Linked DNA regions of Macaca fascicularis. The protein of the gene in region 1 interacts with the protein of each later gene in a pairwise test. Links are inferred from orthologs where the notes say so. Each region holds a gene or a part of one and is shown on either strand. Other genes may lie near its edges.

Region 1 (7,326 bases):
TGTTATTATAATAGCAGTGTGTAGTACATTTTAGAAAGTTAGGAAATGGGGAGAAATATAGGAAATATTTTCCATCCTTCCAAGATTACCAAATGTTAACATCTTGTTATACATCCTAGATCTTTTTCTATGCTTATGTGCATTTTTTAAATCAAAATGTGATATTCTGATTGTGTTACCTTCTTTGATCAGTACAGCTTCTACCTTTCCATTAAAATAAATTTTCACATCTACTAATACTCAGTCCCTATTTAAATTTCATGTTTCCCTAAAAAGTCTTCTCCATCTGGCTTGCTCAAAGTGATCCAACCTAGAACTGCTTGCTGCATCTGATTTTGTCCCTGGAGTCTCCTTTAGGCTAGGACAGTGCGGATCCCACTTTACAACACTGCCCTTCTCCAGCTCTGTTGAATAATGTGGTTTCTACACACTTCCCTGTCATGGGGCCTTCCCCTGGGCTTAGCTGTGTGTTTAACAGTGCCGCAGTGGTGTTAACCTTCGTCCTTCTACGTTTTCCAAGGTCATAGACATGACAGGCCGGGAGCAAAAGGTCTACTACAGCTACAGTCAGATCAGCCACAAGCACAACGTTCCCGATGATGGGCTGCCGCTGCAGTCCCAACAGCTGCCACAGTCTGGCAAAGAGGCCAAGGCCCCAGGCTTTGCGCTGCCCGAGCTGGAGCACAACCTGCAGCTGCTCATTGACCTCACGGAGCAGGAGATCATCCAGAATGACCGGCAGCTACAGTATGAGCGGGACATGGTGGTCAACCTCTTCCACGAGCTGGAGAAGATGACCGAGGTCCTGGACCATGAGGAGCGGGTCATCTCCAACCTCAGCAAGGTCCTGGAGATGGTGGAGGAGTGCGAGCGGCGGATGCAGCCCGACTGCAGCAACCCCCTCACCCTGGACGAGTGTGCCCGCATCTTCGAAACCCTGCAGGACAAGTACTATGAGGAGTACAGGATGTCCGACCGTGTGGACCTCGCCGTGGCCATCGTCTATCCACTCATGAAGGAGTACTTCAAGGAGTGGGATCCCCTCAAAGTGAGTTGTTGGGAAAATCAACTTATCCCTGCCTCTTGGTTGGGCTTACCCTTGCTTGATGAGTTGGTCCAGTGGGCAGGGAGGGCTGGAAAGCCTGCTGCCCCTCAGCTACTCTGCCTTTCTCCTCAGGACTGCACTTACGGCACCGAGATAATCTCCAAGTGGAAAAGCCTCCTGGAGAATGACCAGCTCTTGTCTCACGGCGGACAGGACCTCTCGGCAGATGCCTTTCACAGGTACCACAGGGCAGGGCTCTGTGCTCCAGCTCCTTTCTGCTGGGGGGTTGGGAAGGACTGCTGAAGGTGGGGGAAGGCAGCAGTGCTAGCCTTGATTAATTCTCTGCTCATGCTGATACCGCTTTAGGAATTTAAATTCATTTGGCCATGAATTTATTTTATTTTTTATTTTATTTTTTTTGAAATGTTTTATTTCCACAGGGTTTTGGGGAACAAGTAGTATTTGGTTACATGAGTAAGTTCTTTGGTGGTGATTCGTGAGATTTTGGTGTACCCATCTCCTGAGCAGTATACATTGAACCCAATTTGTAGTCTTTTTTTTGTGAGACGGAGTTTTACTCTTTCGCCACGCTAGAGTGCAGTGGTGTGATCTCAGCTCACTACAACCTCCAGCTGCCTGGTTCAAGCAATTCTGCCTCAGCCTCCCGAGTAGCTGGGATCACAGGCACGCACCACCACACCCAGCTAATGTTTGTATTTTTAGTAGAGACAGGGTTTCACCATGTTGGCCAGGATGATCTCCATCCCCTGATCTCGTGATCCACCCGCCTTGGCCTCCCAAAGTGCTGGGATTACAGGCGTGAGCCACCGTGCCTGGCTTAATTTGTAGTCTTTTATCCCGCACCCCGTTCACCCTTTCCCCAAGTCCCCAAAGTCCATTGTGTCATTCTTACGCCTTTGCATCCTCATAGCTTAGCTTCCGCTTATGAGTGAAAACACAAGATGTTTGGTTTTCCATTCTTGAGTTACTTCACTTAGAATAGTAGTCTCCAATTCCAACCAGGTTGCTGCGAATGCCATTAATTCATTCCTTTTTATGGCTGAGTCATATTCCATTATATATATATGTACCAGTTTCTTTATCTACTTGTTGATTGGTGGGCATTTGGGTTGGTTCCACATTTTTGCAGTTGTGAATTGTGCTACTGTAAACTTGTGTGAGCAAATATCTTTTTCATAAAATGACTTCTTTTGTGTTTTTTTTTTTGAGATGAAGTCTCGCTTTGTCGCCAGGCTGGAGTACAGTGGCGTGATCTTGGCTCACTGCAACCTCTGCCTCCGGGGTTCAAGCAATTCTCCTGCCTCAGCCTCCCAAGTAGCTGGGACTACGGGCATGCACCACCACGCCCAGCTAACTTTTGTATTTTTAGTAGACACAGGGTTTCACCATGATGGCCAGGATAGTCTCAATCTCTTGACCTCATGATCCGCCTGCCTTGGCCTCCCAAAGTGCTGGGTTTACAGGCGTGAGCCACCGCACCCAGCCATGACTTCTTTTCTTCTGGGTAGATACCCAGTAGTGGGATTGCTGGATCAAATGGTGGTTGTACTTTTAGTTTTCTAAGGAATCTCCACACTGTTTTCCATAGTGGTTGTACAATTACATTTGGCCATGAATTCAGCTGACACTTGTCAAATGTCTGTTGAATATCATGCTTGTGCTAGGTGCTGGGCTTACCCTAGTACAGCAGACAGCCTCTGTCTTTAGTACAGCAGAAAAGGCAGATGGGAAATAAGGTAGTGAACAAATAAAGGCAGGATGCACACCAGGTACAGCGATAGAAAACTGCAGGAGCGACCTCCTTGGAATGGGGGTTAGGACAGAGGTCTTAGAGGAGGTGACATTGAAACTGTGATCAGAGGGTGAGAGATGTCAGCTCATGAATAGAAGCCTATAGGTGGGAAAGCACTTGATACCTAGGAAGAGACCCTTGTGACCCTAAAGCAGCTCTGCCAGGTGGGCGGGCACTGCCTACGAGACCAAGGCCTCAGTTCGAGAGGAGAGTCACGAGAACAAGGAAGAAGCAGGCTCAGGTCTGGCCAGCATGGTGACTGGCCTGATGGTTTCCTCTGATCGGATTTCCATGCTGTTGCATTTTTATTTCTGATTCTAGAGAGGTGGGCGGTGGTGGTGTTCTTTGAAACCAATCAGTGTAATTAACCAGCCTGTCCTCTGCCTTTCTCCCATAGGTTGATATGGGAAGTCTGGATGCCTTTTGTTCGAAATATTGTCACTCAGTGGCAGCCAAGGAACTGTGACCCGATGGTGGACTTTTTGGATAGTTGGGTGCACATCATTCCTGTGTGGATCTTAGATAACATACTGGACCAACTCATCTTCCCCAAGCTGCAAAAGGAGGTGGGGTGAGAGTCACAGGAACAACTGTCATCACTAACTACAGGGACTTGTTCAGTCTATGTCTTCATTATCTCAGTGCTGTTAAAATGCCTGGAATTAACAGAATTTGTCAACACAACTGTTGACCTAGAGTGTTAATTCCAGCCTTTTTCTCAGCACTTTTCCCCCCAAGCCACCCTCAGGAGGGAATTCATTTTCTTGATTTCTTCACTAAAATTAGAATTATGCTATTTCTGAGAGGTAATCAAATGAATGGGCATATTTGTTTGGCGATGTACAAAGGACCATGGGCCTTGGAGAGCATGGGGCCTCCTCCAGGGGCAGCTCTTGCCTTTAACCACACGGGTGTTATGTGACTGCCCAATAGGCGACATGAACTGTTTCTTCTGTTTCTTCTCCCCACATTGCAGGTGGAAAACTGGAACCCGCTCACAGACACTGTTCCCATCCACTCTTGGATCCACCCATGGTTGCCCCTTATGCAGGCACGGCTGGAGCCGCTCTATTCCCCCATCCGTAGCAAGCTGTCCAGTGCCCTGCAGAAGTGGCACCCCAGTGACTCCTCTGCCAAGCTTATCCTCCAGCCCTGGAAGGATGTCTTCACTCCTGGCTCCTGGGAAGCATTCATGGTCAAAAACATAGTGCCCAAGCTGGGTAAGGATATGGGGAAAATGCAGTCCAAGCCCAGCAGCTTTGGTGCCCTGGTTTCTTGGTCAGTGGTGATTTAAAGCATAGCCTTTGTATTCATGAAAGTGCTTAGTACACAATATTCCTTGCTGTTCAGAGGCTGAACATAAATGTAACTTGGGTCCTTTCCGCTGTTTGTTTACAACAGCGACTAATAGTTGACAGTAACAACATCGGACTCTGTGCCTTGTGGTTTTCCTGATTGGCTTTGGCTTCTGGTAACAGGACAGCCATTGGAGTTCTGAAATTTTTGTGGTATTTTATTCTAAATTATTAGGGAGTTATTTCTGGTTTAGCAAAAAAAAAAAACATATATATATATATATATATATTTTTTTTTAAGAATTGCTATGTCAGGAGCTTAAATTTGACCTTTAAAGCAGATTAAAGCCTGAGCAACATGGTTAAACCCCATCTCTACCAAAAATACAAAAACTAGCCAGGTGTGGTGGCATGTGCCTGTGGTCCCAGCTACTAGGGAGGATGGCTTGAACCTGGGAGGCAGAGGTTGCAGTGAGCTGAGATCTGCCATTGCACTCCAGCCTGGGCAACGGTGAGACCCTGTCTCAAAAAAAAAAAAAAAAAAAAACCGCCAGGAGCCGTGACTCATGCCTGTAATCCCAGCACTTTGGGAGGCTGAGGTGGCAGATCACCTGAGATCAGGAGTTTGAGACCAGCCTGGGCAACATGGCAAAACCCTGTCTCTAATAAAAACACAAAAATTAGCCGGCCGCGGTGGTGCACACCTGTACTCCCAGCTACTTAGGAGGCTGAGGCACAAGAGTCACTTGAACCCAGGAGGTGGAGGTTGTTGTGACCTGAGAGGAAAACGGACATTATCTTTGCTCTTTGTGCTTCTGTGGCTTTGCCAGTACTAAAGCTGTGCCTTATAGACCGGGTTTCTCTTCCAGGGATGTGTCTTGGTGAGCTAGTCATTAACCCCCACCAGCAGCACATGGATGCATTCTATTGGGTGATCGACTGGGAAGGGATGATCTCTGTCTCTAGTCTGGTGGGACTTCTTGAAAAGCACTTCTTCCCCAAGTGGCTTCAGGTACACTGTTTTGCTTGGCTTTCTGGGGGAGGGAACTGGGTGGGGATTAAGTTAATTTTCTGCCGAGGCCTGACTGTAGGTACAATTCCATAATAAAAATGAATTACATGGTAGGGTAGGAATGAGTTAGGTCATCTTAATAGTGGCCACCATTTATTGGACATTTGCTACGTATCAGAAGCTGTTCCAAGCACTTTATTTGCTTTATCTCAGCTCCTCGCAGCAACCCTATGGGGTAGGGGCTATGGTATCCCTGTTGTGTAGACATGGAAGCGGAGCTCAGAGAGTTTACATGCAAGGGCACTTTAGCTACCAGGCTGACTCCAAAATCCATATTCGTAAGTCCTAGACTGTTTAGCTACTATAAATCCCTGTAAAGTGGTGTCACTAGCCTGCAGGACCAGGATCAAAACAAAACAAATGGCCCCTTCGGAAATCTTGCCTTCATTTGTTGCCACCATGGATGCAAGTAATTTTTCTTTTTGGCAGGTGCTGTGCTCTTGGCTCAGTAACAGCCCAAATTATGAGGAGATCACCAAGTGGTACCTGGGTTGGAAGTCTATGTTCTCAGACCAAGTGCTGGCACATCCATCTGTCAAGGACAAATTTAACGAGGCACTTGATATCATGAACCGGGCGGTGTCCTCCAATGTTGGTAAGTGAGGATTCCCATTTTGGATGTCCTGGCCCTGAGTTTCAGATTTTACACATGTAAATGACACAGAATCAGAGTTTTCTGGTTCCTGTAGGCAGCCTAAACCTTAGGTCGTACTTTTGCCCATAGCAACAGCCTCTCACCCTGCTGATTGGGGTACATGGTCAGCTGGCACCCACTGCCCAGGTCTACCATGACTGAGAGGGGCATCTTCCCTAAGGAGACTGACTTAAGCTGGATTCAGATGTCAGTCTAACCCCAGGCCCCACCCTCTTAACCACTGTGCTGTGTGGCCTTTTAAGGCTCATTCAGCCCTGAACCCGCTGCCCAGGTCACACATCTTACAGTGTGGAGTTGGGTACACGGTCTTACACTTGGTGATTGCTCAGCCTTCATCAGCCCCATTTGACCTGTTAAACAGTAAGATCTACTTCATAGGCTAAAAGGGGGATTGAGTTCATGCTTGTTTGCAGCCTTCAATAGGTGGTGTCTGTGTTGTCAAAAACCGGCAGTTCACTCTTCATGTACTATATCTATTCCCAAGTTCTAGGCAAGTCATTCTGCCTAGATCATAAGTAAATGAAAGTATGTTTATGTTTCTACATTTGGGAGCCTATTTCAACCAGTCGTGTGCTCCAGTGTTGCTCATTAGCCGATTCACAGCATTGAAATGGGATCATCTAGTCTGTTTCACAGATAAGCCCAGTGAAGCTAAGAGCCTGTTCAAGGTCACATAGTTAAAGGGTGGCAGTTAGAACTAGAATTTCTATTTCCTGAGTCTTTAATTCTTGTTATTTAATAGTTAGCCTAGGCCAGGCGCCGTGGCTCATGCCTCTAATCCCAACACTATGGGAGGCCGAGGCGGGTCAATCACGAGGTCAGGAGTTCGAGACCAGCCTGAACAACATGGTGAAACCCCATCTGTACTAAAAATGCAGAAATTAGCCGGGCGTGGTGGCACATGCCTGTAACACCAGCTACTCAGGAGGCTGAGGCAGAAGAATCACTTGAACCTGGGAGGCGGAGGTTGTAGTGAGTGGTGGAGATCACAAGCACTGCATTCCAGCCTAGGCGACAAGAGAGAGACTCGGTCTCAAAAAAAAAAAAAAAAGAAAAGAAAAGAAAAAAAGAAAAAATAGCCTATTCTGTGAAAACAGAGATTAAGTAATAAGGCAAATATACTTCTCTGCTTCCGTAATTATCAAGTTCTTTCTAAAAACTCTTCCTTAGCTACCCCTGGCCTCATGTTTCCAAAACTCTTCCCTGTATATACCCCTCAGTGAGCACTTAGCATTTATGGTCTTGTATTATCCTTAAACACCAATTTCAGCTCCTCAAATATACGTGAACTCCTTTCAGGATGTGGGGCCTGTGTGGGTAGGTTAAAAATAAAGCCAGTGTGGGCCTATATTTTCAAGGTACTAAAAGCTGCCTCTTTGGTGGTATGAAGTGGAAACTCTACAGGGCAAGGTGGAAACAGGAGAGTGGCTGAGGACTCTGCTGTTT
Region 2 (8,017 bases), on another chromosome or scaffold:
TGGATAGAAAAAACATCAGCCAGACCCAAGTTCAGGTCTTCTTACTGAATGAAAAGCCTGAACTCTAAACTCTTTGACAAAAATATTAAATGAATAGAAAAGCTCTTCCCTAGGCTTATAAATGTGGTATTATATAGCTAGGATAATCAATATCTTATGGTTTTCAAGAACATTATTTCAAACACTTTATCTTTTACGATTATGTGTCCCAATTTTTTGCTTCAGAAATTATGCAAGTCACTCTAAACATTGACAAAGGGAGGTTATGATTCTTAACACTGATTGGCCTGGTGTGGTGGCTCACACCTGTAATCCCAGCACTTTGGGAGGCTGAGGCAGGTGGATCACTTGGGCCCAGGAGTTTGAGACCAGCCTGGGCAACATGGTGAGACCCCATTCCTAAAAAAAGAATTAGCCAGTGTGACAGTCTCAGCTACTCAGGAGGCTGAGCCCAGGAAGTCAAGGCTGCAGTGATGGAGTGAGCTGTGATCGCACAACCACATTCCAGCCTGAGGGACAGAGTGGGACCCAGTTTCAAAACTGAAAAAACAGACGAACAAAACACTGATTGAGACGCAGTATACTCTGGAAGAAAAAAGGTATGTTCCCAGTTCTGCCAATACAACTAGCTAGTAGGCCTCAAATGTCTCAGGCAAGAAATTGGCTGATTTCTCAGTGACATCTAGCACTAAATTTCATAAATGAAATATACCTATATATATCAGAAATTTCAAGTTTATTTGATAACATGAAAATGTGCCACGTTCAAAGTCTGGATGGTTACAGACTAGCTATGCTATGCAGGTTTTGGTAATTTAACAACTTTATGTATTTTAGAACAAATGTTTGAATTCACTAGCAGACTGACATCCCAGTCACCTTCATGGTAAGAACCCATGCCTCTCTACTTCCACCAAGTGGTGGCAAATGCAATGTACCACACTGAGTAAAGGGCTACAAATCTTACCCAAGTACCCGTTTTTAGCTACCCTGCCACAACATTCTTTTTAATTTTCGGTGTTTGCCTGATTATTTTTTACTAGGAGTTTCATTCTATTTTAATAGAATTGTTCTAAAACACACGGCACTTAGTATCTCTTACACATTAGAATGTTCATTTCATTCATTCTTTCAGCACCCATTTGCGTGCTTACTATGTGTCAGGCACTGTGGGGTGTGGAGATACAGTGATGAACACAAACAGCAAATGTTTCTGTTTTTGTGGGACTTTCTGTAATGAACTAATCATAATAGTGACTGTCCCGAGTGTCTTCAAGGAAGGAGATACAACTCTGTGAAGGTGAAACTGATCCTGACAGTGATCGGGGAAGTTATCCCTGTAGAAGTGATGTCTGAGTTGAGATAGGAAGGGTCAGTGGGAACTAACTAGGCAAGAGAGGATGAGAGGGAGGAAGGAAAAACAATGCAGACAGAGAGAAAAGAATGCCAAGGCCTGGTGGGTGGAGGAGGCCCATGTGGCTGAAGCCCAGTGAGGAGGGCCAGCCGTTTCAGATGAGTCTTGAGAAGCAGGCGGGGGTGAGCAGCTGCAGGTCCTTGGGAAGGCGTGCCTATGATGTGGATCATTAATCCAAGGGCAATGGGAAGCTGGCGGTAAGCAAAAGAGGGAGGTGGGGAGGGATGGCATAATCAGCTCTGCCTTCTGAAGAGGTTACTCTGGCTGCAGGGTGGTGAAGAATCGAGAAAAGCCAGAGATGTGGGGAGACCAGCTGGTACAGGACTGCAGCAGGCTGAATGAAGGTGGTAGTTTGGACTTAGGCATCCACGACAAAGAAGAGATGTGAAAGATGCCCAGGAGACAACCTCACCTGGGCTTAAGGATTCACTGGGTGTTGGGGTGTGGTAACGGTCAAGGAGGAATCCTGGGTACAATGGAAGAGGTCCCAGCTGGGGTTGGGAAGTGGGGTTGTTTGGTCTTGTGCATGTTGAATTGGAGGAGACTGAGTGATATTAAGAAACACTGTCACGCAGCTAGCTGAATGTACGAGTCTAGCTGAGAAAAGGTCAAGTTGGAGAAAGGTGGGAGTCAAGAGCACACAGCTGGAACTTAAAGCTGTGCGTGTGAATCTGTGCCCTGTGCTAGATGAGGGGGCGCAATGGAGAACAAAATGGGAACAGAGGCCGAGCTTTGAGGATCTCCAATATTAAGGAGCCTGGGAGAGGAGGGTGAGCCAGAATGGCAGCAGGAAAAGCAGGAGAGACAGGGGTGGTCACAGAAGCCAAGGGCAGACGGTGTTTGTAGAGTGAAATGGGGGCAGCAGTTTCAAATGCTGTTGAGAGACTGAGCAAGACGAGGCCTGGAAATGTCTCATTCCCGGTTTTTGTTTTAGCAGAGATGAAGAGGGAAGCCAGGCTGGCTGAGGAGTGAGAGACAAATAACAGAGGTATCGAATAAGGCAGTTCTTTAAAGTTTGCCTGTCGAAAGGGATAAGGGATTGGACAATAACTGGAAACTGAAGGGGAATGTGGGGTCATAGGAGATTCTTTTTTTCCTCTTTTGTGATGGGAAACTTCAACATGCTTCAGAACCATGGCAGAGCCAGCTGAGATGGAATAGGTGATGATACGGGAGAGGGAATGCATACCTGACAGTGTAGAGTTTTTGGCGAGTGGAAAGGGATGGGATCCAAAGCACAGAGAGGGAGTGGCTTTGGTTAGGAGGAGGAAGGAAGGTAGGAACAGATATAAGTAAGGCTTGCAGTTTTGGCAGCTGAAGAATGAGGGGATTCCCATGTGACAGCTTCAAGTTTCTCTATGAAGTGACAGCACAAGGGTGTGGTGGGAGATCAAATCTGAGTAAAGTGGTCATTTATGAAATGCAATCTCCTATAGACCCTCAGCTAACTGTGGCAATCCTACTCTGTTACTTTGGTTAATTGGGGTTTTACCTGACGGCAAAAGAGAAAAGATAGGGTTTAAGAGAGTGGCAAGGGTAGGGCCAGGCGTGGTGGCTCATGCCTGTAATCCCAGCACTTTGGAAGGCCGAGGCGGGCGGATTACCTGAGGTCAGGAGTTTGAGACCAGCTTGGCCAACATGGTGAAACCCCATCTCTACTAAAAATACAAAAATTAGCTGGGTGTGGTGGTGCACACCTGTAATCCCAGCTACTCAGGAGGCCGAGGCAGGAGAATTGCTTGAGCCCGGGAGATGGAGGTTGCAGTGAGCCGAGATGATGCCACTGCACTCCAGCCTGGCCAACAGAGTGAGACAATATCTCAAAAAAATGAAAAAAAAAGAGAGAGATTGGCAAGGGTACAGTTATGTAGGGACCTTAGCTCCTTGAGGGCAGGGACCTGTCACATTGATCGCCGTATCAGCACCCAGGTACTTACTATCAAAATGATCAGCATACGGATGATCATTTGTCTGCATCTCAGTTTGCCTCTTTTGGTGCTTCTCTAAAAAATAAAAAAAGGAAGAGCTTAAACTCCTACATGATTCCTGTCTTTGCACTGGGAAGAAGGCTCTGGATTCTTTTTTTTTTTTGAGACGGAGTCTTGCTCTGTCACCCAGGCTGCAGTGCAGTGGCCGGATCTCAGCTCACTGCAAGCTCCTCCTCTCGGGTTCACACCATTCTCCTGCCTCAGCCTCCCGAGTAGCTGGGACTACAGGCACCCGCCACTTCGCCCGGCTAGTTTTTTGTATTTTTTTAGTAGAGACGGGGTTTCACCGTATTAGCCAGGATGGTCTCGATCTCCTGACCTCATGATCCGCCCGTCTCGGCCTCCCAAAGTGCTGGGATTACAGGCTTGAGCCACCGCGCCCGGCCCGGCTCTGGATTCTTTTGTTCTTCAGGACAGTCCCTTGTAAAGCTCTGGCCATAGTTCTGTTCCAGGGGCACTGTCATATATATACCTAACACAGCTAAGGCGCATCTTTACATTGTCAGCTTGTTAGCATGATGCTTATGTAGACTTGTTTACCCGGTTTAAAAGTTGCAATGTGCAAAATACATACTGAAAATATTGCACTTTTATCTACGGAAATTGTAATTTATATAAGGAAATTGTAATTTACATAATCCTTTAAAAAACTTATTCATACGAAATAACAGAGAACGGGAAATAGCATTAAGGCTGTCATGCTCAAGTGGGGGAGGGGCAGACTCAGGGAAACCAATTAGGAAGCAAGTAAAGTAATCCAGGCACCAGATGATGGGGGCCTGGACCAAGGTGGTGACAGTGGGGGTTGAGAGAAATGGTAGAACTGTGAATCTATTCGGGTGCATTTTGAAGGCAGTGCTGACAGACTGAAGGTGAGGAAGAGAAAAAGAGGACTCAAGCAGGATACAAGGCTCGGGCAACTGGAGAATGGAATTCCCAGCAACTATGGCGGATTAAGATTGTGGGAGGACAGGCTTGGCTTGGGGAATTATTGAGAGCTATTTTGGATAAGCTGCGTTTGAGATGCTGTAGACATCCAAGTAGGGATGTGGCAGGCAGCTGAATGCAGGGGTCTGGTGTTCAGGGGAGGGGCGAGGGCTGGGAATGCACACTTGGGGCTCACTGGCATTCAGATAGGCTCTGAGTACAGGAGACTGGATGAGTTCATCTAGGGATTGAGAGGAGACGCAAAAAGGCTCAAGCTCACATTCAGCCGTGAAAAAAACTGGGCTCTTAAAAAACTTAACCGTTGGCTTCAGTGTGGCAACGAGATGTTAACACGCTGAGGAAAGGGTGTGGATAAAGAGTCCCGAGACTGGGCGAGTGGGGGACATACACAGAGAAGACATTTCAAAAGATTTAGATTCCTGCGACATAGGGAGATGCCAGAAAAACGAATCCCAAGCAAAACAGCAAGTAAGCAAAGGCAAAATCGGAGGTCAGATAGAAGATTCAGATAGAAAAACCCGAAAGTCCCTCGGTGGGGCGGCGGTGAGATCGGCCTCTGCCCCCTTGCCGGACCCAGGCGCGGCCCCGGGCGCGCTCGGTCACCTCGGCCCAGGCGTCCCCCCTGCCCAGCGGGCCTGAGAGTACGTGTGTCGCCGGGGCGCCCGGCCACTGCCGAGCCGGAGTAGCTGTTCCTTGCCAGACTGCGCTGCGAGGAGGAAACGGCCAGGCGCCAGCGAGGCAGGCAGGGGCGAGGACGCAGTGACCGGCGATACCGGAAGCCCAGAAAGAGCGTAGCAGGCGCGTCCGGACGGGACCAGCGTTGGGGCAGTAACAGGGCAACCGGCTGCGGCGGACGATGGCGGCAGTTGGGCCGTTACCTGTTCCGCGCGGTTCCCGCGACTGCAGCAAGGCCGCAGTGGCGGCCCGTCGCCATGGAAACCCGTGCGCGAGGCCTGCTGGGACGCGCAGGCCTGAGGGTGCTGGGCGCGCGCATGCGCACTCGGGAAGCGGACGCCGCGGCTGGGAGGGGCGTGTTTGGCCTGGAGGTCAGTGTGGCCTCGCGTTTTTCTTCGGTTCGGGGAAGTGAGTTGCTTGTGTAGACGTCTGTAAACAAGCCTCCTGCCGTCCCTGTTCGGCGCCCTGCCTGCCCCCGTGGCCGCACCGGGAGCGAGGGCTGCTAGGCAGCAGGTGTAGACGCCTGGTCAATGCCTGGGAAGCACAGTTTCCCTATTAACCCCGTGTCATAAAGACGGTTTTTTTGTTTTGGTTTGTTTTTGTAAAACAAAATCTGATGACAAAACAATGCATTATTTGGCATAGAGAATTTAGAAATGTACAGGCAAAATGTCCAAAGCAAAAGTCAAAATCACCTAGATGATGGAGTTGTAGGTGCTTTTTAATGACAGCATAGGAATTTGGCATCATTTAGGAAGACTTACATTGTTTCCTTTTATTTATTTACTTTTTTTCCTGTATCAAAGCCATGTTGAATATCCTTGCAGATGAATCTTTGACGTCACCCCTGACTGTTTCCTTAGGATAAATTCCTACATGTGAGGTTGCAGGGTCTGGCTCTGTCGCCCGGGCTGGAGTGCAGTGGCCGGATCTCAGCTCACTGCAAGCTCCGCCTCCCGGGTTTACGCCATTCTCCTGCCTCAGCCTCCCGAGTAGCTGGGACTACAGGCGCCGCCACCTCGCCCGGCTAGTTTTTTGTATTTTTAGTAGAGACAAGGTTTCACCGTGTTAGCCAGGATGGTCTCGATCTCCTGACCTCGTGATCCGCCCATCTCGGCCTCCCAAAGTGCTGGGATTACAGGCTTGAGCCACCGCGCCCGGCCACTTTGAGGCTTTCTAAAGGTAGAGGGAAACTGCCTTCCAGCAAACGTTCCAATCCTTGGCCCACATTGGAAATTCTCTTTTTTCTTACAGTTTTTTTTTTGCCCATTTTATTGTCAAAAATTGGCATCTTTGATTGTATTCACTTCCTTGTTAGTAGGAAGAATAGACTTTTTCCCATATTTTTCGTGCCATTTGTCCTTATTGTGTGATTTGAGTTTTCCTGTCTTTTGTTCATTTTAAAACTTGGCATTCATCTTTGTAAAAATTGGTTTTGTAAGAACTTTTGATGCTTGAAAACTTAGCTTGCGATATACGTTGCAAATACTTCCTCAGTTTGTCAGTTACCTTTAATTTTGTTTACAGTGCCTTTTGGTATTTGTGTAGAGTCAAGCTTATTAGATTTCTTTTTATAGTTTCTGCATTTGGTTTTTATATAAAAGGAGAAACGGGTGTTTTTTTTCAAATTGACTTTAATCCTGCTTTGGTAGAAGTGGGTTAGGACAAGCTTTCTCTCCATATCGCCATTTCTTCCTCTAGAAATGCATGACCTACCCTGAGTTTTGGTGGGCCGTGCATTTCTAGAACTCCTTCGGTAAGAAATTATCTGTATAAGATGGGTGCCGGTTGTTTTTGCTGGTGGTGGTGGTTGGGGCAACATCTCCAGGTAGGCAAACATTAGACAAACCCTAGACTTGACATTATGGAAAGATGGGCTGACTGATGCTTGGTGGCTGGTGGTGGTCCCATGACAGTAACAAGAGCAGAGGTTTGCCGTTGAGGGAACATCTAACCCTGGAGCTCAAGACTGGAGGAACTGAAAGGTAGAGGTTCCTTAGAATGGGTTCCTCCTCTTTTCTACCAGCTTTTCTCAGTATGTAGACTTGATAAGGTCACTCTGCAAATCTGCCCTTGAATCTTTCTGTTACAATTGAATAGTCTTTGTTTTTTTTTTTTGAGACATATCACTCTGTTGCCCAGGCGGGAGTGCAGTGCTGCCATCTCAGCTCACCACAACCTCTGTTTCCCATTTCCTGGGTTCAGGCGATTCTCCTGCATCAGCCTCCTGAGTAGCTGGGATTACAGGTGTGAGTCACAACACCTGGCTAATTCTTTTTGTATTTTTGGTAGAGATGGGGTTTTGCGATGTTGTCCAGGCTGGCCTTGAACTCCTGACCTTAAGTGATCTGCCCACCTCGGCCTCCCAAAGTGTTGGGATTTCAGGCATAAGCCATCGTGCCCAGCCTTTGCTTTTGCTTTTGAAGGGGGTTGTTCTTTTCTGTGTATACAATGGAAGGAGAAGAGCCATGGCCTTTTGCTATTCTGGTGGCCATCTCCATCGTGCCACATAATAAGCATAGCCTTTATTTGTCTGTATTAGGTTCCTAGGGATGCTGTAACAGATTACCATGAACTTAGGGGCTTAAAACAGTAGAACTTCATTGTCTCACATTTCTGAAGGTCACAAGTATGAAACCAAATTATCTGAAAGTCCATGTTTCCTCTGAAGGCTCTCAGGGAGAATTCTTGGACTCTTCCAGCTTCTGGGGGCTCCTGCTATTCCTTGACTTGTGGCAGCACCACTCCAGTTTCTACTTCCATCTTCACAGGGTTTTCTGCTGTGTCTCCCTTTCTCTTCTTAGAAGGACAGCCAGTCATTGGACTTAGGGCCTACCCTAAATCCGGGATGATTTACTCACAAGGCCCCCCAAATGATTACATCTGTAAAGACCCTATTTCCAAATAAGTTTACATGCTGAGGTTTGGGTGAACATGAATTTTGGGGAACAGTATTCAACCCACTACAGTTATTGTGGTGATCATTCCCATC
Region 3 (8,065 bases), on another chromosome or scaffold:
AGAACAAATGACTGGACTGTATTTCCCAGTTATCCCCCATCCCTCCACTCTCTCTAGTGAAGGAGAGCCAGCTAACTCCTTTCCCATGGAATGTGAGTGGAGTGATGAATGCCACTTGCAGGTTAGAACTTTGAGTGGGTGTACCTCCAAGCTTTCTTTGCCCTTCTTCCAACTAAATGCAGATGCTGATGGGGCCCTAGGAAATGGAAGAACACAAAATGGAAGGGATCTTGACTCCCTGAATCACCTCTTGAAGGAGAGCCACTTGCTTGCCAACCAGGAACATATATCTGAGACTATTAAGTGAGCAAGAAATAAATGTCTGTTACTTGAGACATTATACATTCTTGGGTCTCTTGTCAGCCTGCTCTAATACACAATAATTATCCATTATCAGAATGGATAAATTGCGATATAGTCATACAGTAGAATACAAGCTACAAAATTGAGTAGGGTTTCTTGTATCATCATGAATATGTCTCAATGTCTGGGGCCGGGCATGGTGGCTCACACCTGTCATCCTAACATTTTGGGAGGTTGAGGCTGGAGGATCGCTTGAGCTCAGGAGTTCTAGACTAACCTGGGCAATGTGGTGAAATCTCATCTCTACAAAAAATAAATAAATTAGCTGGACATTGTGGTGTGCACCTATAGTCCCAGCTACTTGGGAGGCTAAGATGGGAGGACTGCTTGGGTCCAGGAGATCGAGATGCTGCCATGAGCTGTGATCATGCTACTGCACTCCAGCCTGTGTGACACAGTGAGACTGTCTCAAAAAATATTTAAAAAAAAAAAAAATTCCGTACATCTCCTTAAAAGAGAACATTTTAGAAATTTACTCTTGCTTCATCTTGATTCCTCTCTCTCTTCTCATAGCAAACCCATTAGCAAGTCCTGTCTACCACCAACTACATTTTGAATCTGTTCACTGTACTTCTGCCATTCCAATCTAAGCCATCATTACCTCTTGCCTAGACTACAGTATCTTCCTAATTGGTTTCCTTCCACTTTCTTCTGGCTTGGATACACTCCACCTAACAGCTGTAGTTTTTAACAATTGAAATCAGACCTCATTCACTTGCTAAAGGCCCTCGGTCTACGTCTCTGTGCTCATAACTCCTGCTAGCCTTAATAGCCTCCACCCTTGTTCTTTGACCATTCCCCAACTATACACACACCTTTCTGTTCCTTGAACCTACCAAGCTTATTGCCATCTTTAGGCATTTGCATTCACTGTTGCCTCTGCCTAGAATAGTTTCTTCCCCAGTTTTTGCAGGGGCTTCATTTCAATTGTAGGCTTCATTTTAGCAATCATAGCAGGTCTTAAATTTCACCTCAGAGGTATTTTCCATCTAAATTCACTTTCTTAACCCTGTGTAATTTTCTAAATAGCAAAGCAGACAAAATGTAGATTGAAATCTTAGTTGGCCAACTTGCTGCTCACTTAGAGGTATGGATTTCAAGGTATGAAATCAGTTATCATTCAACTTTTAATGTCTTCAAGCCTTCACTCTGGAAGGGACAGCCACAAGCAGTATACCATATCCATTATCTGGGATGATAAGAAGTAAAAATGAACTGAGATCAGGTGGAAGTTACCCACTCCTGAATTAGATAATCAGGACACCAGTGGCAGGAGGGGAATTAACAGAAGAACTAATATGCTTCCTACTTTACAACTTTTTATCAGCCTTAGAAATATATTGTCTTAGGGTTTTTACATCCACAGAGAATAAGCCTTCAAGTTTGTCTTGGATACCATGCTTTCCTTGTTCCGTGTTTCTGTATTTTCAGCTCACAAATTGAGATTTAATTTAAAGCACCTGCATGCTAAAATCCTAATTTCTGCATTAAAACTAGTTTTTATTATTTGCACGTGTAAGACATTTAAGAGTGGTAATAGAGTGATGAAGCAGAAAATGTGTTACATTGGAACAGTAATAAAATCAGTGGATAAATGTTTTTACTAATGTTTAATAAACTACATATTTAACAGAAAAGTTGTTAAAGCTAGAAGGTAAGGACATATTGAAGGAGAATCCTTTTTAAGTCCAATTTTAAGGGAATTCACTTTACATGTAAATAAAGCTGAAAATTCAGGAAAATTATTTTGAAGTTTTTCATCACTAACAATTTCTGGGAAACAAAGTTGATCCTATTTTCCCATAGAGGACCCATATTAAAATGTGAGATTATATTCCTATACTGGGATTCAGCATTCAAATAACTAGTCCCAACTTCAATGTCGCAGAACCCCCCCAAAATATATAACTATCCTAAAAATATATACTTTAAAATATAATTTATAGTTCTACTAAATGGGAATAAACATGGCATGCGTTAATTACAAAAGATACTTCACGTACTAGAAAGTGCACCTGTAAGAAAATTAATAAATGACCTAAAACTAAAGCACTTAGGATAATAAACATCATTTTACTTCTATCTTTTAGAATGCTGCTAGGGAAATGGATGACACTTTTTAAAAAGTCCAAATATTTCAACTTTTTTTGGATACATTTTCCTGAAATAAGGGGAGGCATTCAGTCACCTCCATGCTACATATGTTTCTTCAAAGAAAACATTTTCAAATGTAAGAGCTGACCTAATAGATGTCTCCTTCATCTTCTCTTACCTTCTCAATTTACTTAAAGCTAAACTTGTAGGGGCTTCACATCAGATGAAAGGTCACTCTGCCTAGCACTTACTGGACTTGCTGTTATCAGAATGCTTTTTCGCTCATGAGAAAACTAGGAGCTACCTGGTCACTGGCACAAACTTACAAAAATCTTATAAAAACTGCTTTTGTCTGCTAAGTCGGTCAAAAGGAATGAGGATAAACTGATACTGGTTATTTACTGAGCAGAACGCTATTCAGTCTATTTGGAATGCTAACCTTAAAGGTACTTTTTCTCTATAAAGAAATCTAGTTAGATGAAATAAATCACAACTGTTTTCACTTCCTCGGGTTGGTTTCCTTTAGCTAGTTTGATGTATGGTAAATGGCTAGGTTAGGGTCATGTGTTAGGTTAACTAGAGGTTTGTGGAATATCTTATTAACGAGAGTATTTCAAGAAAAAACTAGTTAAGGGAAGCTGGTTACCAAATATCTAGTAGGACTGTTGGATCATCTAATCCTCCACTCTAACACTCATGATGGAGATGTTACAATAACAATCTGGAATCCAAAAGCCTTCCTAACCAGGTTAATGTAGCACTTAAGAGTACTTGCTCCAGTTATCTAATCAGTGTTATTTTAGGAGGAGTTACTTTGGATTAATCCTTGATTTGGTGCCTTGGGGAAGACTGGGTGTGGTCTTTGGAACATCCTGTCTATTTAGGCACTGATTATGACTTCCTTGCAATCTCTGCCTCCCCCGGATTAAGGACTCCAGATACCACTGTTCCTGCTGCAGCTGCTGCTTCCTGTTTTCTAAGTGGCTTTGAGTAGCCGTTAGTTTCTGGGCTTGCTCAATTAGCTGCAGTAATTCCTTCTTGAACTGCTGGTTCTCTCTTTTGAGGCCACAGGAGTATTCAAAAATAGACCGCTCTGCTGCCAACTTCAAGGCCTGGGCTTTCTTATTAAGCTCTCTTCTTTTTCTCTTTCCCAGTAGCCTCCTGTCTGGCTCGCTCAGTTGTTTCTCCAGTAATCTTTTCTCCTGGAGGAGCTGGGCCTGTACTTCACGTGTCTTTGCAGCTGTCTCAGCTTGGACTTTCTTTTTCTCCTCCTGTAATGTCTGTATTTCTTTCTCCTGCTTTTCCTTTAATATAGCAATGTCCCTCATTGCCTGCAACTTCCGCTTCAAACTGGATTGGATATTTTCCTTTTGCAAGAGCGCTGTTTTAAGCACTGAAATTTGTTCTGCATATCTGGAGGCTGATTCTTGTCTTCTTCGTTCGATCTCTCCACTTTGTTGTAAATAGCTGTTCCATACCTTCTCAGGTTGCTTTGTGTACTCTTCAGTTTTGTTAGTCAGGTATTCCAGAAAGAACCTGTTTTCAGCCTGGACAAGTAACTTTTCTTGGTATAGCTCCCTGTATTCCTCCAGTAGCTGTTCCCGCTGGATTTGAGCTTGTTTTATATGCTTGTTCAGAACCGTCATTTCCGCCACTATCTTTTCTTTAAGGATTGTCTCCACCTTTGTTAGCTTCTCTGGCTTGACAAAATTATTTATTAGCCTATGATACGGTGGAAGGAGCCTTCTGGGGCCCTCAGCAAACCTGAAAGAACAAATGAGACATTCCTCTCTCAGTTGATGAAACTTTAGGAAGTGCAGAACTGTCCTTTATTTATACCAGAGAATATTTCTGAGTACCCAGAATGTTCCAGACATTATGCAAGGTGAGGGGAATCCAGCTAGTGGTAAAAGATGACGGATTTAGCTCATCATTTACAACGTGCGTTCACCACAACCCTGGGAGGTACTATCTCAGTTTTAAAAAGAGAAAACAGGTTCAGAGAGTTTAAGTGAATTGCCCATGACTCACACCACTAGCAAGTGGCAGAGCCTGGGTATGAAAGCCAGATCTTATGACTTACTGAACACTGTTAGCAGCTACAAAGGGCCACAGAAACAGACTGGGTGGTTGCGAGTAGAAATACTTTTCTAAGCTCTTTCATCATCTTTCCTGAGTTTCTGAGAGCCCTTCAGTGAGAAGGAAGCTCCCCTCCAGTACCTATTCGCACCTGGAATCCAAGCATTCATCCTGAAGGTCACGGCAACTGCGTAGTTCACCGAGGGTGATTACCAAGGAATGAGCGCTAGCATCAGGAACCTGCGCCTGCAACTCGCGGGAACAACGTGCAAGTGCGGAAAACTCCCGTAGTTTATCCGTTCGGTGCTCAAAGGGTCTCGGTGCTGCCCAGCAACCCTGGAGGCTGCACCCTGCTCCAGTCCTGGCTGGTCCAGCCCTGAACTGTTTAACCGCCTCGGCTACCGAATAAACCCGAGCAGCCGGTCCTCCAGTGGCTCCGCTCCCCGCTCTCTGCGGGCTCGAAATGAGAGGCATGCGCCTTGTTTTCTTGCTGTGTGAGTCCTGCCCTCGGGACCCCATCTCTTCTCGCCTTCCCCCTGGGGACAAAAGCCCTCCCAGGCTGCAGAGATCAGAGCCCTTTCCTAGCTCCCTTCAGCCTTCCTCTCGCTTGCTCAGCGCCCCCACTTCCTCGCCACTGTCACTAGTTGGCTCACCAGCCCTGCCCGATACTAAGAAGATGCCCTGGCAACTACCGCGCCCCTTCACGCTCCTTTCTGACGCTTTGGTTCTGTTTTCGTTCGCTGCCCAGAACATCGCGGAAGTTTCTCTAGCCATGCGGTGTCTCTATGGTCAGGTGGGCGGGGCCAGGAGGAAGATGGCGGCGCCCGCAGCTGCAGCTGAGCCCCAGGCTTCTGGGGGTCCGCGGCACCCAGTGTGTCTGTTGGTGTTGGGAATGGCGGGATCCGGGAAAACCACCTTTGTACAGGTGACGTACACAGCGTGGGTGTAGTAGGGGAGCGCAAAAGGTTGCCTCCGACAGGCGGAAGGCCAGGGAGAAAGGGAGGGAGGTCTCCGAGGATTTGGAGGGTATCGGCGCATGGGTTTCGGTCGTTTCCCATCAACTTTAGTTCCTTCCCCGGCAAAGCCTCCTCGGGCCCTAGCCAGGTTAATTAAGGCTGTCTTCTGTGCACCTTCAGTGCATACTCGGTCAGCTTACCACGTTGTACAGGAATTGTCTTGCTGATAAAATTGCCAGTTTCTTGAAGGCAGGGGCTTACAAGTAACTTTAGAGATTAATACAGTGCTAGCACACAGGTTTTGGTGAAGATTTGCCGAAGAATTATTTCTTGCACGCCTGTTATGTACCATTCACTGGGGATATAGCGAAAATTAGGTTGACAAGATTCATTCATGGGGCTAAATATTTAATGGAGGAGATAGAGAAAACCCACATACGAAGAATCAAAACAAGTAAACAAGTGACTATGAGTAGGGGAAGTTTTGTTAGATGGGTGATGAAGAAAGGTAGCATTTGAACTGAGAGTTGTATCTTGGTGTTGGATATAGTGGGTGGATATTTCAGGTAAAAGAAAATCTAAGTGCAAAACTCTTAAGGCATGGGTGGTAAAGGAAGTTCTCTCTTGTCCCCTCTTTGTCTCCTTCCAACCTTCTCCCCATATCTCTGCAGAGGCTCACAGGACACCTGCATGCCCAAGGCACTCCACCTTATGTGATCAACCTGGATCCAGCAGTACATGAAGTTCCCTTTCCTGCCAATATTGGTGAGTAAACCGGTAACATAACTTGTGTGAAGTGCTTTAAAGAGAATGGAAAAGGCCGGGCGCAGTGGCTCACCCCTGTAATCCCAGCACTTTGGGAGGTCGAGGCAGGTAGATGAAGAGGTCAGGAGTTCAAGACCAGCCTGGGCAAGATGGTGAAACCCCATCTCTACTAAAAATACAAAAAATTAGCCAGGCGCGGTGGCAGATGCCTGTAATTCCCGCTACTCGGGAGGCTGAGGCAGGAGAATTGCTTGAATCCGGGTGGCAGAGGTTGTAGTGAGCTAAGATAGCACCACTGCACTCCAGCCTAGGCAATAGAGTCAGACTCTCCAGCCTGCCAGTCTTCAGTGCCTTCTTTTTTGATGTTTTCTAAACTATCTACTTTCATTTCCTTTGGATTTGCTTGAGTTCCTAAACAGCTTAGGCTTTTTTTGTTGTTGTTGTTGTTGTTTTTATAGAGTCTCTGTCACCCAGGCCAGAGTGCAGTGGCGTGATTCAGCTCACTGCAGCCTCAACATCCCAGGCTCAAGTGATCCTCCCACCTCAGCCTCCTGCCACCATGCTGGGCTAGTTTTGTTTTGTTTGGAGAGACAAGGCCTCTCTATGTTGCCCAGGCTGGTCTTGAACTCCTGGGCTCAAGTGATCCTCCTGCCTTGGCCTCCCAAAATGCTGGGATTACAGGTGTGAGCCACTGTGCCCAGCCTAATTCCTTTTTAAAAATCATGTCTGCATTGCCTTTGCATTGCGTTTGTTAGTAATAGGCAATTAGTAAGAAGCTTTTTTTTCCCCTTGATTTTTGCCTCCCTTTTTCTAGACGTGTTTAACTTGTGTGAAACTTCTCACTTTGTGGAGACAAAACTCTCTACCATAACTTTAGAGCTCCTAGCCCTAACATTCTTCATGAATTACTTGACATTTATTCTTTGTAAGGAAGGAAACCAGTGTGAAAGTGGAGGTGGTAGAAGAGAATGCTGACAAGAGAAGGCTAGAAGGCCAGTTTCACTTTCCTGCTGGTAGGGAATGTGCATGTATTACATTCCAGTTAATTCTTTTCTTTCTCCTCAGATATTCGTGACACTGTAAAGTATAAAGAAGTCATGAAACAGTATCCTTTTCCATCTACTTTGGTCTTGACTCATTCCTGGCTTCGTTTCTGTGTATTTTGTGGCTTGAAAGAGTGTTTTTGCCTTTTCCCTGTGAAATATACAAGCAAAAGGATGGAAGCTGATTGTGGCAGAGGTAGGTGATCAGAAATATTATTTCAGCTTGAGGTTTTAGTTTTTTTACTGTCTCCCCAGATGGCAGGCTGTTGTAATTAAAGAGCAGAGAGTAGGATAGGATAACTGACAGCTACCTGGGTCCCACAAGGTAGTATTTTGCCTTGGAGGATCATCTGTTGGTCACCACCTCTTTAGACTGGGAAACTCAGAAATGAGTGGGTTTAGTTGGATTAACTCTTAGTAAATTGCTTTGTGAAATGTGTACTCTGCTTAATTTGTTTATGAGGATCAGAGCCGGAGGTGTTATACAGGTGGCCTTCATGGCCAGTGCTAGGGAGCTGTCACTGCCTGATGCACCTGTATTACATTTTGGTCACTTTGCTTTCTTCATTTTGCCTGGCCATTCCTAAAGTCATAAATGAGTGAGCCAGACCTTGATACTGAATGTTTCCCTGTGTGGTTAAGGTTGTGTGGTAGTCACGGATTAGGTTGCCAATATTCATTAATGGAACACTAATTTCATAATGCTGTTTTGTGTGAATGATAGCCTGGGTGTGAACTTTATAATCTAATCTATAAGCGATTTCA

The links. The genes of interacting proteins can lie anywhere in the genome.
Region 2: the proteins of TFIP11 (region 1) and LCA5L interact in binary tests that used the Homo sapiens proteins (3 or more experiments, as listed by UniProt). The two-hybrid records come from large-scale screens. The link is inferred for Macaca fascicularis from reciprocal best matches to the Homo sapiens genes TFIP11 and LCA5L.
Region 3: the proteins of TFIP11 (region 1) and CCDC121 interact in binary tests that used the Homo sapiens proteins (3 or more experiments, as listed by UniProt). The two-hybrid records come from large-scale screens. The link is inferred for Macaca fascicularis from reciprocal best matches to the Homo sapiens genes TFIP11 and CCDC121.

The regions. Positions count from the first base shown.
Region 1 is NC_088384.1:25,184,617-25,191,942, forward strand, and holds part of TFIP11 (tuftelin-interacting protein 11), read left to right. Parts: intron 1-520; coding exon 521-1,048; intron 1,049-1,177; coding exon 1,178-1,284; intron 1,285-3,255; coding exon 3,256-3,424; intron 3,425-3,834; coding exon 3,835-4,078; intron 4,079-5,022; coding exon 5,023-5,165; intron 5,166-5,654; coding exon 5,655-5,820; intron 5,821-7,326. UniProt on the Homo sapiens protein: Involved in pre-mRNA splicing, specifically in spliceosome disassembly during late-stage splicing events. Intron turnover seems to proceed through reactions in two lariat-intron associated complexes termed Intron Large (IL) and Intron Small (IS).
Region 2 is NC_088377.1:7,532,810-7,540,826, reverse strand, and holds the start of LCA5L (lebercilin-like protein), read right to left. Parts: upstream 5,293-8,017; 5' UTR 5,229-5,292; intron 3,418-5,228; 5' UTR 3,352-3,417; intron 1-3,351.
Region 3 is NC_088387.1:94,603,424-94,611,488, reverse strand, and holds CCDC121 (coiled-coil domain-containing protein 121), read right to left. Parts: upstream 5,293-8,065; 5' UTR 5,056-5,292; coding exon 4,688-5,055; coding exon of another isoform or gene 4,678-4,687; intron 4,222-4,677; coding exon 3,267-4,221; 3' UTR 1,959-3,266; downstream 1-1,958. Other genes in the region: GPN1 (GPN-loop GTPase 1), read left to right, coding at 5,351-5,461, 6,164-6,257, 7,323-7,362.